Caenorhabditis elegans: one gene and its partners. Changing the gene in region 2 together with the main gene of any one other region gives a genetic interaction. Each region holds a gene or a part of one and is shown on either strand. Other genes may lie near its edges. The genes, in order: fust-1, fox-1 and exc-7.

What was found.
Region 1: changes in fox-1 (region 2) and fust-1 impair growth when combined (synthetic growth defect), as found in Caenorhabditis elegans (one study listed by BioGRID).
Region 3: changes in fox-1 (region 2) and exc-7 impair growth when combined (synthetic growth defect), as found in Caenorhabditis elegans (one study listed by BioGRID).

What each region holds. Positions count from the first base shown.
Region 1 is NC_003280.10:7,150,146-7,154,751, reverse strand, and holds the start of fust-1 (RNA-binding protein FUS), read right to left. Parts: upstream 2,101-4,606; 5' UTR 2,053-2,100; coding exon 2,049-2,052; intron 1,849-2,048; coding exon 1,742-1,848; intron 1,617-1,741; coding exon 1,331-1,616; intron 1,283-1,330; coding exon 1,225-1,282; intron 661-1,224; coding exon 623-660; intron 416-622; coding exon 277-415; intron 232-276; coding exon 1-231. Other genes in the region: T07F8.1 (Zinc finger PHD-type domain-containing protein), read right to left, coding at 2,992-3,426, 3,471-4,606.
Region 2 is NC_003284.9:2,453,236-2,457,841, forward strand, and holds the start of fox-1 (Sex determination protein fox-1), read right to left. Parts: upstream 2,715-4,606; coding exon 2,634-2,714; intron 1-2,633. UniProt on the Caenorhabditis elegans protein: RNA-binding protein that regulates tissue-specific alternative splicing events by binding to 5'-UGCAUG-3' and 5'-GCACG-3' elements. Also binds to poly(A), poly(G), poly(C), or poly(U) stretches of RNA.
Region 3 is NC_003280.10:9,573,899-9,578,504, forward strand, and holds the start of exc-7 (RRM domain-containing protein), read left to right. Parts: upstream 1-2,072; 5' UTR 2,073-2,409; coding exon 2,410-2,469; intron 2,470-4,390; coding exon 4,391-4,568; intron 4,569-4,606.

The DNA of each region.
Region 1 (4,606 bases), on a different chromosome or scaffold from region 2:
CGGAACTTGGCTAGTGAAATACTCATCGGGCTTGAGCCGCCAGGGAATGGTTGCCCATTGTACATAGTTATAGCTTGTTGAGCTGCAGAAGCATCGACGAATGTTATCATGCATTCTCCTTTTGGTTCTCCGGTGTTGCGATCGGTGTAAATCTTGATTCTCGGTCCGCGATCGTTCTTTGCAATATCTCCGCAGGTACTGAAGACGTCGGCGATGTAGGCTTCATTTGCACTGAAATATAGATACATTTTTTAATTGGGCGATTACAAAACATACGTGGTGGAAATTCCCTGCACAAAGACGGTCTCCTTCAACTCAACTCGCCCATCGGATCCGAATTCGCGGTTTCCTGAAGCAGCACCACCGCCTCCGTATCCTCCTCCACTTGGTGGTCCGTCACGTCGGGGTCCTCTGTCTGCAATGAAAATATGAAAACTTTTACAAACAATTTTTTCGTCCAACTGTCAATAATATAAAGCACAGGAACAAGTATTTTTATATTCGTTTAATGTTTTTTGTTTTTGAATTTCGATGATAAACTCGGTAGGATACCCATTTTTTTTTAATTTTGGTAATAAACTCGTTGTGGTACGAAAGATAAAGCAATTTACGTATTCAATACCTTGATAACCTCCTCTTCCTCCTGGAGGTCCGCCCTGTCTGCAAAACATCATTCTTGAATGGAGTCTTCTGTCTTCTTCTCTCATGCTAACACCACAGTAAAATGTTTTCAGATTTCGACCGCGCAATAATACACCTTCAATTGATTTTTTTTTGTACGCACAAACACGATCATTTAGATTTTAAGATTTTTCAAGCATGAGAGATTTCAGACAGAAGCATCTCCTGCACGCTCGAAGTCGTTTGGTAGACTTCATTTGTTCTTCACTCTTGACTCGTTTTGATACCGAACACACGTAATAATAGCTGAACTGCATAATATTTTGAAGGAAACCGGGCCATAGCCCTACAAATCGATAAAGCACAATGAATTTGTGCTTCATTGCGGACACTGACCTTTTTTCATGAAACTTACAATGACGGACACAATACATTACTCTTCGCAAGTTTTTAATAGTGAATAGATTTTGTATATGAACACTGAATACTCTGAACTCTGTAGCAGTTTCGATTTTCAACACAACACAACAATTTTTGGATGGTTAAGCAAACGAATTTGGAAATACCGCATATTGCTAACGAAACATTCAGATGTTTACCTACCGATCAGAGTTTCCGTCATCCCATCGGCTCCCACCTCGGCGTTCTCCGTCGTAGCCACCTGAAAAACATGGTTTATTATGAATACATTAATCAAACAAGAACAAACCTCTACCACCACCACGTCCTCCGCGATCACCGCCGTAACCTCCGCGTCCTCCGTCGTATCCTCCACGACTTCCGCCACGTCCACCATCATATCCACCTCCTCCACGACTGCCTCCGAATCCTCCACGGCCGCCACCTCTACTTTGCCCGTAGGGGTCAGATCCTCCGGATTGGCCTCCGGATCCTTGGCCGTATGGATCCGCTCCTGGTGGTGGTGGTGCATATGGATTTTGCGGTTGTTGTGCTTGGTCGTGGCCTCCATAAGCAGCAGCGGCGTACGGATCCTGCTGAAATTTAAACTATGAAACGTCTGTGAGCCTGGTGGTATTCAACAGCAGAACTATGCTCCTGAACAATTCTGAGCAAAGCCATGATAGTGAGGCGATCAGCCCACAAAATCTCATATACTTACATCAGGTTGACCTCCTGGTTGTTGTTGTTGTTGCTGTTGATAATAGGCCCAATACGCCTGCTGCCCTTCGGGTGTGCTGTAGTCGGGTTGACTTTGGTCGTAAGCCGCTGAAATCGATAATGTTTTCAAATAACCGGGAAACAGAAATGGCAACGCCCGTGATTTGTATTCGGGAGCTCCCACAAATTCACGCATTAACCTAATTTATAAAACATGAATGGTGTTAGGAGGATAAATAAAATACTTTCAGTGGACACTCGGATTTCGATATTCCAATAAGAAAACGACTATTAAAAAAGAAACTAACCCATTTTTGTCGATATTCAAGTCGAGGCACTCGCTACGTGTCGATGCGTTGACTGAAATTTATCCTTTGAAGAGCAAATATATCTTAAAATTAAAAGAGAAACGAGAAGAGAATGGTTGAGGACAGATGCTGTTCAAAGAAGACGGAGAACGCTGTCCAATACGCGTCGCGGTTGTGCGTCGCGTGTAGTCTCAATGGAGCGCGCACATTTGCAGTTATATCTAGATATATCTGGTTGTAGCGAACCTTGGCAGATTTCAGCGTTCTGCTCCAAAAAACTAAATTTACTGAAAAAAACAATTATACTAAAAAAAATACTTTTTAAAAAACTCCATCTAAAACTTTGATAGTGCTCATCACAAGATTTGAGCACTGCAGGGTAATAAATAGTATACATTTTAACAATTTTGAGAAATTAGGTCGAGGAAAATGAAAAATAAAGTTAACTCAAGAACAAAAATTGCAACAAATGATTACAATTTTACACAGTATCCTCGTCTCGAAATGCGCAAGCGCGACGATTGCTGGCGCGTTTCGCGTGAAATGCTGCGTCTCTCACATTTCCAAGTCTCTCGCATTTCCTTGCTCATTCTAATTCTCATCATTTTCTTCGAACAAGGTTGATTTTTTTTTCGTTTTTTTGTTTCATTTTCATGTTTACATTGCTTGTATTCGGTTTTTCTAAAATTGTATTCACTTCTTTTGAAATATTTTCATGCTGTACCCCAATCTGAACCCATTCACAACCCGTTTGTTAGTTTAGGCAATTGAAAATTAGGATTCACGCTTATCATCAACTCAAAACACTTTGTAAGTCGGAATTTAGAGATCATTCATGGCTTTTCTGCTCGTTTAATTGATTTAATCGAAAAAAAAACATGTGAGTGAGAGAGAGAGAGAGAGATGTACTATAAAAACGGTTTCCTAGAAATGTTTGCTGTCACTAGTTTCTTTTATCGGAAATATAGTTGATGTTAGCGAAATAGTCGATCATCAACTCAGCGCGTAGCTTGAGAGACATCACAGAAGAAAATCGCGTCTCTGTTGTCCTGAAGAGCACATGAAACGCTTCCATCCCTTGTTCTGAAGTACGACCCCAAGTTCTTTTTGCTCTAATGTAAGGCTCGAGGTGAGTACAGAGGATGTGAAGTTTAGGAGTGACTCCCATCGAAGGATGAAGAATTCTGATGTTTCTCTTCAAGTTCTTCAAAGTTTTAGCGAAATCATTCAAATCATCATCTGTGAAGACTGCGTTATTGCTTGCTGACATGAGTGACGCCAAATCATTCATGAAGTTTCTCATATTCTGGATCCAACTACAGTCCGTGAAGACTTTTAGTACTTTGTCAATGTTTTCTGTCCTTAGTAGTTGGCGAACCTAAAGATTAGAATATTTTCAAATACCGAAAATCACAAATTTACTTGATTTCCGGTTAATCCCTGATAGTTAATTTTTTGACTACAGCCAATATAATCCAAAACTTCCTCGAGTTTCTGTTTTGTTGGCCCAGTTCGAGTCGAAATAGCCGTTGTCATGTCTTGGCGAGCAGCTTTCAAGTTACTAAGATGGCTTGTCTCGTGTTGTAAGCGCCTGGCAAGCTCATCAAGTGCCTCATTAGCATGTTCAATCATTTCCTCATTAGAAAGAATATGTTTTTCTTGACATTTTAAACAAGCAGTCGGATGATGTTTAGCTGCCTGGCGTTGATCCTCCGTATATCTACCAGCACACACCATATGAATTGCAAATGGACAAGCAACGCAGAAGAAGATATCTTGATCCTGTTGGCTTTTTGGCATATCACTGACGCAGCATGTTGGAGATCCACAAGATATCGACGAACGTTTGATATTATTCTGCTTTAGTCGACTCTCATAAACTTCCTTGATTTTCGTCGTGAGCACAAGGGCGTTTTGCAGACTTTCAACCACTTTTTGGCAAAATTTTTCTTCTTTCTGAACTATTCCCAATTCCATTCTCTGTTCGTTCATAGAGTCTGGAAGATCCTGTCCAGGGAAGTCGATTTGATTGGCAAGTGCCAAAAGTGAAGCCAAGATATAGTCATTTACCAATCCCATCAGAAGATGCAAACAAGGTGGTACGATACAAAATGGCTCAATGTGGAGTAATGGATGATACCCTGCTGATATCATACCACGCAATGTACGAAGAGGGCCCGATCTATCAAATTCGAAGGATTGAACTGTAGCCTTATTCATACCAGAATGAGCCCATCTGCCGGTACAAAAAATGCAAGAATCTGAAGCTGCCTGTCCTGGATGATTCATTGCAGATGACTCAAATTTCAGATCTCCTACCAATTTCAGACGAATATTTCGAATAACGAGTGCATTTTTTTCTTGATAACGAATGCTTGTCATTTTTTCGAGCTGCTCGAAAATCCCCGCGAAATACTTTTTCAGATTTGTGTAATTGTCTGTACCAGTGTACCATCCAAGAGCCGTCTCGGTGAGACTGCTGTTTGGCTTCTGACAATTCTCGATAGACATACAAACTTTTGTTACTCCATCACCGGTATCTGCGGAGATGATAATAT
Region 2 (4,606 bases):
GTTGTTTGGTAGTTCTGCTGAATTTTCACAGTAGTAAAACTCGGAAACTATAAAAGTTGTTGAAAAATGATCAAAATATTTCCCATGACTATGTTTACTTGTTTTAGGTGTTTGAGTTTTACACAAAAATCATGGCGAAAAATAAAGCCGCCGACATTTCGTGAATCCATTTTTGATGATAACTCAAAACCCACATTTTTAATGGAAAGTTTGTGATAGTAAATTTATCTTTACAATACTTTTCGTTTTGTTTAATCAGTCAGAAAAATAAGATATAAGAGTTGAAATGGCTTACGAGATGTCGGCCGCTTTAAAAACAAAAAAAAACATAGTGACGAGCAATAAATTTTTCCAGTTTCAGAGTTGCAATCAGGAGTACCTTTTTAGCCAACACTGTATACAAAAACTATGGCGGCCAAAAAATCAAAAAGTTTTGGTTGGATAGAAAGAAACAACAAAGCAAAACAATTTTGTTCTCAAAACATGATGAACGTAAGTAAATATTCCTTGTACATTGAACGACAACAAGGAAAAAAAAGAAACACACATTGAGCAGGAAACAATAGAGGGACCAAAGGTTCCAGATTATTCAAGCCAAGCTGGATGTCAACCTGGGTTGCTTGTTTTTTCCTCTGTGCCACATTATTCTCCATTTGTTTTCCTTCTGATTATAGAAATATATGAGAATAACCTATTGTTGAGGCAGAACGAAAAGGGGATTGGATTTAATCTGCTTCATTATATATATATTTCGAATTTCTTTACAAAACATCGATAAATTTCATAATGGGATAGATATAAGCAAAATCGCAAGCTCGTGGCATTTTAAACGTACATGTTATGAAACTGCTCAATTTTTTTTCTAAAATGTAGGCGGTGCAAATTTTCGAAAAAAAATAACCCAATTTTAGCTAAACTTCCCGATTTTGGTCACTTTTCTGTGTCACAGACTTTGTATTTTTGAGAAATATCCTTACAAAATTTGAAACACATTCAGGGATTGTGTCAAATGTGTGCGGCAAACTTTGAGATTTGCCGAGCTCGACAAGTTCGGCAAATTTTTTTTGTTTGAATATTTGCCGAACTCGAGAAATTCGGCAAATTAGGCACCTTTTCCGTGGTTCTCAAACTCGGTAAATTGAAATGTTTTTTTGAGCTCAAAAAGTGTCAAAATTAATGGAAAACAAATAATTTTCGTTTATTGTGTGCCTAATGCACGTGTCGATTTTTTTTTAAATAAAACATATAAAAACACTATGCTATGTTTTTTTTTTCATAAAATATCTGATCAAAACTTTTATTTTTGGACAAAATGTTTAATGAGTGCCGAAAATACTAATATTTGCCGAACAAATCTGCCAAACTTGGCACAATGATATATGTTCAATTAAAAAACTTCAAAACTTGACTACCGGGAAATATTGAAAAACACAACCAGTTCTCCGAATTTCCATCAACAGTACGCAAATTTGGTATAACAAATCAATTTAGACTCCATGTTGGAAAGTTTTCCGCGATTCACACAAAACAGATAGAAACTGTCGAAACGAAAACACTAGTTGACGCTGACTTTGGTTGTCATGCCCCTTTTGACATCTCCCCTCAACTATCCAGTAGTATAATTGCCGCGTAAATTGCGTGATATTCTCGTTTCTATGGTTGACTAGTTGAGGTAGTTGAGGTCACTATTTCTCATTACTGCACTACTTTCCGCTTATTTCAATTCGCACAGCACATATCCGCTCGCAATCCTGAATGTTCGGTGCTGCGCGAGTGTTTCAATGTTTCGGTCTTCTTTCTAGCACAAATAAAAGGAAGAAGCCATCTCACATCCATGTACTCATCTAATTATCGTTGAGTAAGGGTGAGCCTTCGTCTCTTCCCGTTTGCCAGCTTCTGCCTTTCTTGATGGCTCACAAGCAGCTGCGAAAACATTTAGGAGAAGGTCGAGATGCGGTAAAATGACGAGATTTCTCACACAATTTTGTGTCGGAAAGTCGCATTATTGTTTTGGCAAGACAAAATGGGCAAAACGAGAAGAATTGCGAAATTAAAAAAAGCTATGCTATGGAGCCTTTACTGAAGAAGAGCCCAAAACAAAATAAGAGGAAAAAAGGAAGCAAACTGGATTAGAATAGTCTTTCGGTTCACACGCAGCTAACTCACTTAAAAAGTGCACATTCCGACCAACAAACTGAAGTTGAAGTTAGATTTGCAAAAAAAGTCTCAATTAGAAGTTCACGGCAATAAATTCTACGAAATGAGACAGTTGGCTCGACATTTTTCATTAAAATTTGATGATATAATATAGAAAAATATTTGGTTTTTTTTTTTTTGAAAATATCTGTGGAGAATTTTTCAAAAATCGTCTGAATATTGAAAATTTCTGCTGAAAATTTCCGGAAAATGTGTCGATTTTTGTGTGTTTTTTCGGTTGCTTCAAGTGAACTCATACTTATTCCCAGATTACATCCTTAAATTTAAATGCAAAAGCTCATGCCCAACTGTCATATTTTGTAGAATTGCCGGTCGGCAATTGCCGCGCACCCTTAGGCCCCAATGGTTTTTTCCAACTTTTCGAAACGTTCAGTCATGACCAATTTCAAGACAAAAATTAGTATTAAAAAACATACCTCAGAATTCACTACAATCGGGTCACATGCATTGAGAGAAGCGTGAGTAGCAGTGCTCACCTCTTCGATTAGTTCAGCCATGTTTCAGCAAGAGGCGCTACAGTATCCAGAGTAGTAGAAGGAAAGACTAGAAAAATAATTTTGTGGAAAACAGGGCGACGGGGAAGTGGTGGCGAGCGTGGACGGCTAGGAATGACTGACTGAAGAGTCAGTCGTCGTGTCGGAAACGGAATGGTTGAAAAAAAAGGGGGGGGGGGGCAGTATTTATGCGATGTGTGTCTGTATGTCACACCACAATTGGCCTCATCCAAAGAAGTGGCGAATCACGCAACACAACTCGGAGGGGCAGCTCACACGGCCTTAGGCTTCTTCTTCTTCTTTGTCGGCTTCTGCTTTTGCTTCTAGTTGCTTCTTCTGCTGTTGCTGCTGTTTCTTCTCCGTTTTCTTCCTTCTGACAATTCGTCACAAATAAGGAGCAGGAAAGACGGACTAGACCCGCCGGACGGATAGCGGGACACACGACAGACACGAAAACGGGGCGCGGTTTCTTACTTGTGTGACCACTTTGCCCCCACGGGTTGTCGTCGTCTTCTTTCTCAATGAGTTGTTAGTAGGGTCACTACTGACTTCTGAGCGTTAAGAGCACGGGAAAGGATGGCGCAAAAGTGTGCTCAGAGGCACGTCTTATTAATTGAGAGGAAATGGGCGTGGCCGCTGTCCCAATGTCGTCTTCGTCCCTACGCTCTCACCATCTTTACAGATGTGCGCTAAAAGCACTACCTACTAATCATATTAGCTATTCTGGGAGTGGTGGTAATATTAACATACGGGAAGTATATGTCTTGTAGGGAAAAAAACTCGAATCCTGAAAATAGGAATTACAAGAAAATATTGCAAACCGTCACAACGCAGATCACTTCGAAAAAAAAAGGTTTTCAGATTGCAGCTTGGGAATTCGAAATAGGCTAAAATGTCTAGCCAGTGGTGAAATTGTTTAAAATCATTCAAAGATGCAAAATTTATAGTAAAACAAGATCAGTTTTTCCCTATAATAACTTTGAAAATCCTAAAAAAAATTTTGGATTTTTGAAATTCCGATTATGCAGTAATTGTTTGAAATTTAGCATCACAGAAGTTCAAACTTGCAGAAATGTTAGAAATTTCTCAAGAGGCAAACTTTTTTTGTGGAAAACTTTGAACTAAAAATTTTGAAAAATATGACAATACATACTACCGCTATTATTTCGCTATTAGAGTTTTCAGCAATATCGAAAATTCCTTACAAGTGGACTAACTGTTAGGGAAATTTGGAACGTATAAGCTCGAAATTCGCTCAAAAGAACGATTTTGGTAATGAGATTGCTCAAAAAATTTTCATAAATTTTTCATAAAGGTTCAAAATTTCGATAGAAAGAAGGTCTAATTTCACCCATAATTTTCAATTTTGGCGCTTTTTTGGGCGCAAAACAGTGTTGAAAACTTGCGATTTTAACTTAATTCGAGCCAAATTTTTTCGAAATTTTGAACCGTGTTATAAAAATTTTGAAAAATTTTTTTGAGAAGATTCATCATGTTCATTCGGGCATATTTTAGGTTAATACATTCAAAAGTTCCCGAACCGCCCACACAAAATCCGGAAATTTGTTGAAAAAACCAAAGCTTACCGAAAACAAAACTTAGATTAAAAAAATGATTTGACCGCCAGATTAAGCAAGATGACGTCGTTCCTTTTCAATTCAACACCTTTAATCGCCTCTTCAAATTAGATTTTGTGAACAAAAAAGGACGAAGAGAGAGAGGAGCAAAAGAAACGCGATTCTTGTTTGATTTCCGGAGTTTTGCCAGCGAGCCTCACAAGTCCTACACGGAATCAAGTGAGGAGGAGGAGGAGAAGGAGGTATTCGGATTTCAAGACGGAGAAACGCAATATCTAGGGAAAATTGGGAGCATTTCAGTAAATAACAAAACACGGA
Region 3 (4,606 bases), on a different chromosome or scaffold from region 2:
GATTGCTTATGATACAGAGTCGCTACTCAGTCAGTTTACATATAAGTTGGTTATAGATCATTTTTCCATGGTTGAATAGAACTTTTATCGTTTTTAGTAGTTTTACTTCCTCAGAAACCAATAAAAATATTTCAAAAAATGACCCTTTCCGGCGTTTGGGAGCAATTTTATATCTGTTTCTAATAACCTTGCCAGATTGACAGAAATTTGCTCCTAAATACCGTGTTGTCATGGAGATAAGGAACTATCCTACCCTTTATGTTTAAAATCATTATCATATGCATTTCATATTAAAAGTTCCTACTGGCAATTTGTATCAGTTAAAAAATCTAAATCCGATCGTGATCTCCTTCTTCTAAAGTCAAGTTTTGCAGTAAACTTTCGAAAATATCCTCCATTGACCGTGCTTTGAACTTTACAGTCTTTGAATCCGTGATTTGTGAAATCGAAAACCCCTAAATCCGAAATTCCCGAAAAGTCCAAAATCGCAAGGGTTAAATGTAGTTTGAAGTACTTAGTAGTCATTTATCTCAAACCAAAAGTCCAAATGGAAGGGCCATACCTAATTATTGGGAACGGATCGAAGGCATGAAATACTGTATCCTGTAAAAGGGCCTGAGCAATTATGAATCTCGCCGACGCGGGGGTACGTACTCTCATCCGGCCGCCCTCTCCTCTGCACCACTTTTCACACAACAATATGGGGGCCACCCCCCTCTACCTAACTAACACATAATTGAGTCCCCCTCTCTACCTATTCAGGTTTTGTTGTTCATTCAACTGTGCGTGTCGTGTGTATTTGTATGGGGTGGGACGAGAGGCGGTGAAGAAGAGGACTAATGGAAAACCACAATTGAAGAGTGCGTTTCATCGTCGATCACCGTTTCTATGGTAGTTATTTTGAGATGACAATGATGTCGATTTTTTTTATTGTTTCCTAGCATTCCATAGTGACCAATTGCCAAAGTTTTGTGCTTAGACAGGTTTTGGGATATTCTCAAGATCAGCGGAATCCTTTTTTTTTGTTGCAAAATTGCAGAAGCATTTGGATATTTTCTTGACTAGATGGTGCAAACTTGCGATGGAGTGTTTCCAGTTCAAGAAAACTGGAATCGGAGCAAGTAACAGGGTTACTGTAGAATGGTTGATGGTATTCTATAGGTTTATTTAACTCGTTCTTTCGTAGCCCCTACGTTTCTTTAAAAATTCAAACTTCCCAGAGCCACAAAATTTCCACCGGGCTTCACGTATTCCCTCTTACCGAACACCTATTCAAATACGTGTCATCTTCAATCCTTTTCCCCTATATCCTTCACTAACCAGGTCAGTCATGTTTGATCAACCATTGTTTCCACACCTGCCCTCACAAAAATCCTCAATCATGATGCGCTCTTATTCTTTTTTCTATGATGTTGGAAATTATGAAATTCAGCTTTCACACTGTATTCTTGTAATGTCTGGACCCTCACTATACACTTATTCAAGCCGTAATTGGCGTGTATACGTATCCATATAATGTGTCAAGTTCACCTGTTTCCTTCATTTCCGTCTGAGCACATGATCCAAAATCTTATACAACTGAATTCCTTTATATAGATTGTGGAAAGTTTCCTGCAATTTCTAGTAGTTCTTGTTTCCTAGTCTTTCGGCTTCTTATCTGCCTTTTTAAAACTTTACCTACCTCATAATCCGTACAGTTCCCATTTTACCTGTTACACACATACACAGGTATTTAGAAACTAAGCATCATACCAGCAATAATAAAAACAATAAATGTTCTTTTCATTGGCAATGAGATATATTCATGCGTCTATGTAAACCAATAACAAAGCTAATTAGAATTGAAAACAACAGGGAATTGAGTGGCAGAGTATAGGTATGTCATGCTGTGCGCTGCCATAATTCTGCAGCTTCAGTTGAGTGGAGTAGGATTGTGAAAAATCATGGTGTACAACTAGTTCTGTAAAGTTTCACTGATATTAAACGTTTTCCATTTACTTTTATTTCACTTCTATTTTTCTTGCTCTCTGATATGTTTTTTTAAATTAATTATCAAACCTATGAAATTACAGATCCATCTCCCCTAGTCTCGGCCGGCCCAAAACGAACGGAGCATATACGGGGAGCCGCGGCACACAAACATACACAAAATATAAATAGGCCACGCCCATTTGTGCATATTTCTACATATATCCTCGCGACGGGCCCCCCGCCCCCCTGAGCCCCTTTTCCTCTTCCTTCTCTTTGCTCTCACAACAACCGGAGCTCTTTCTTTTTGAAAAGAGCCCTCTTTTGTTTCCTGACAGACCAAGTGGAAGAAGTGGTGGTGTGTCAACTTCAGAAGACAACGAACGACGCATTTTTGGATAGGAAATTCGAATTTTTGAATTCCAAAATTCGGTCTTCAAAATGACGATGGAAGCGTTGCTAACACCGAATAACAACAATGTTCCGACGAGTCCCGTTCAGGTAATTTTTTTTTTCAATTTTTATTAGGAAAGATCTATATGAAAGTCCAGAAGCAGTAGAAAAAAAAAACAAAAATAAATACGGTTTTCAAAATCTTTGAACATTGAGGTCTACAAAAAGTCCAGAAATCTACTCGACTGTAACATTTCATATTTTGGTTGCCTAAGATTTTATCAACAAAAATTCAACTAATAAAATATAGAACCATAGCAAAGATACACATTTTAAAAGTAGAACAGTAAACTGCGGTAATTTTGAAGAGCTGTAAGTTTGTTACAGGTTCTAACTGTGAATGGTTTTTTTATTAGTTAAATTAAAAGTTTAAAAAAAGCTTTTAGAACCTGATCATGACAGTTGTTTAAAATTCGGACTAGGTAAACTGGATGCTTAGGCTCCGTTCAGATCTAAAAGCTAAACAAATTGTTGAGCCTTGAATTCTAGTAATAACCATAAATCTGAATATTGTTTCTTCCCCAATGTCCAATCCGTCAGTGAGCCCGAGTCCAAACTTGGTATACATGCGTGTGCATTTGACGTGTCATTCTTTCAAGAAAGCTTCCCAATTCCCAAATGCCAATTTTTCAAAATCCGAGAAGCCTTCTTCCTTACTCTTCTTCTCTTTTCTCCGCCTTTCCGAACCACTCCTTTTCGAAAATACGTCCCATTCATTACGCCTTGAGGGAGGAATGAGGGAGGAATAAGGACCAAAAATAAAAATATTTGTTTTGTGAAAGAGCTCAGAAGCTCAGATTCCTGCGTGCTCATCCACCTATATTATGATGATGTGTTGTGGTGTTGGTGGATGGGAGTGGAAATGACATGAAAATTAAAATATGGAGAGAAAAATTGAAAAATAACAAGAGAATACTAGATTTTTAGATTTCCTGTTGAAAATTGTTTTCTTTTTTTCTAAAAAGTTTTTTGATTATTGAAAAAATATAGCTGAATTAACAATATCATAATTGTGCAATATATGACTAATGAAATTGGTAGAAACGAAGTTTTTTTTTTAATTTAAATTTCTAGAGGTACTATATATATGGAATATTCTAAAACTCAGCGATTTTCTTCAGTTTTTTTGAAGTGTTTCTTCAAAAAATTGATAGAAGACCTATAAATTAAAATTTAAAAACTTTTAAAATTTTGTGAAAATTCAATTCGAAATCTACTAGAATTTATATCACAGTTTTGCTAAATTACGTTCCTCCTCAATACCGGACGGTTCAAAATTTTATTTCTATAAAACGCATATGGAACTCTTTAATCAAAGATCCTATAAAAAACTCTTAAAGTCTATTCATTCCAACAGCGTAGAAAAAAACGTTTGCATATATTTCATTTCATACATTATTCCCTCTCAAATACCCATGGGTATTGTTGCTCTTCCAGTGAGCACACCAGGAGGTGGGAAGAACATGCGGGGGGCTCCATCTCTTCCATATAGACTTGCTCACGCACAGGAAATTTGAGACGTGGCCAAATAATGGACAGCGAAATGGATGAATTCTCCGGTTACTTGTACCGAAGAGCCCTCCCGCGCGCGAGAAAAGAATTGAAATTGAAAATTGAGATCTCCCGGTGGAATGAAAGATTGGAAATCATAGGGGAAATATTTTTGGGTCAGATGTAACCTCCAAAAATGGAATATATAGTCAGATTGGACAAAGATGGCAGAAAAACATAATAATTTATTTATTCCCAAATGAAAAAAATGAACAATTTCCGGGGTTACCGACGCTTCTCACCAATGCTAGGCACCCGAAAATATACGAGGTGTATTATTTATGTAAATTGACAAAAACGGGACTTCTATCTAGGGAGTTCAGAATTTTTTACATCTGAAAATCGTAGATTTTCATTCGAAAAACCGGGACCATTATACAAAAATCGCTTTTAAATTTTAAATTTATATTTTTTGCAGACAACCTACACAAGTACACAACGATACTGCTCCGCGCCAAATGTGGATATTGGAGAATCAAAAACAAATTTAATTATCAATTATCTGCCACAAGGAATGACACAAGAAGAAGTTCGGTCCCTTTTCACATCGATCGGAGAAATTGAATCTTGTAAATTGGTCAGAGATAAAGTAACAGGTGAGGAGGAACTTCTATATTATTCATTATTTTATTTT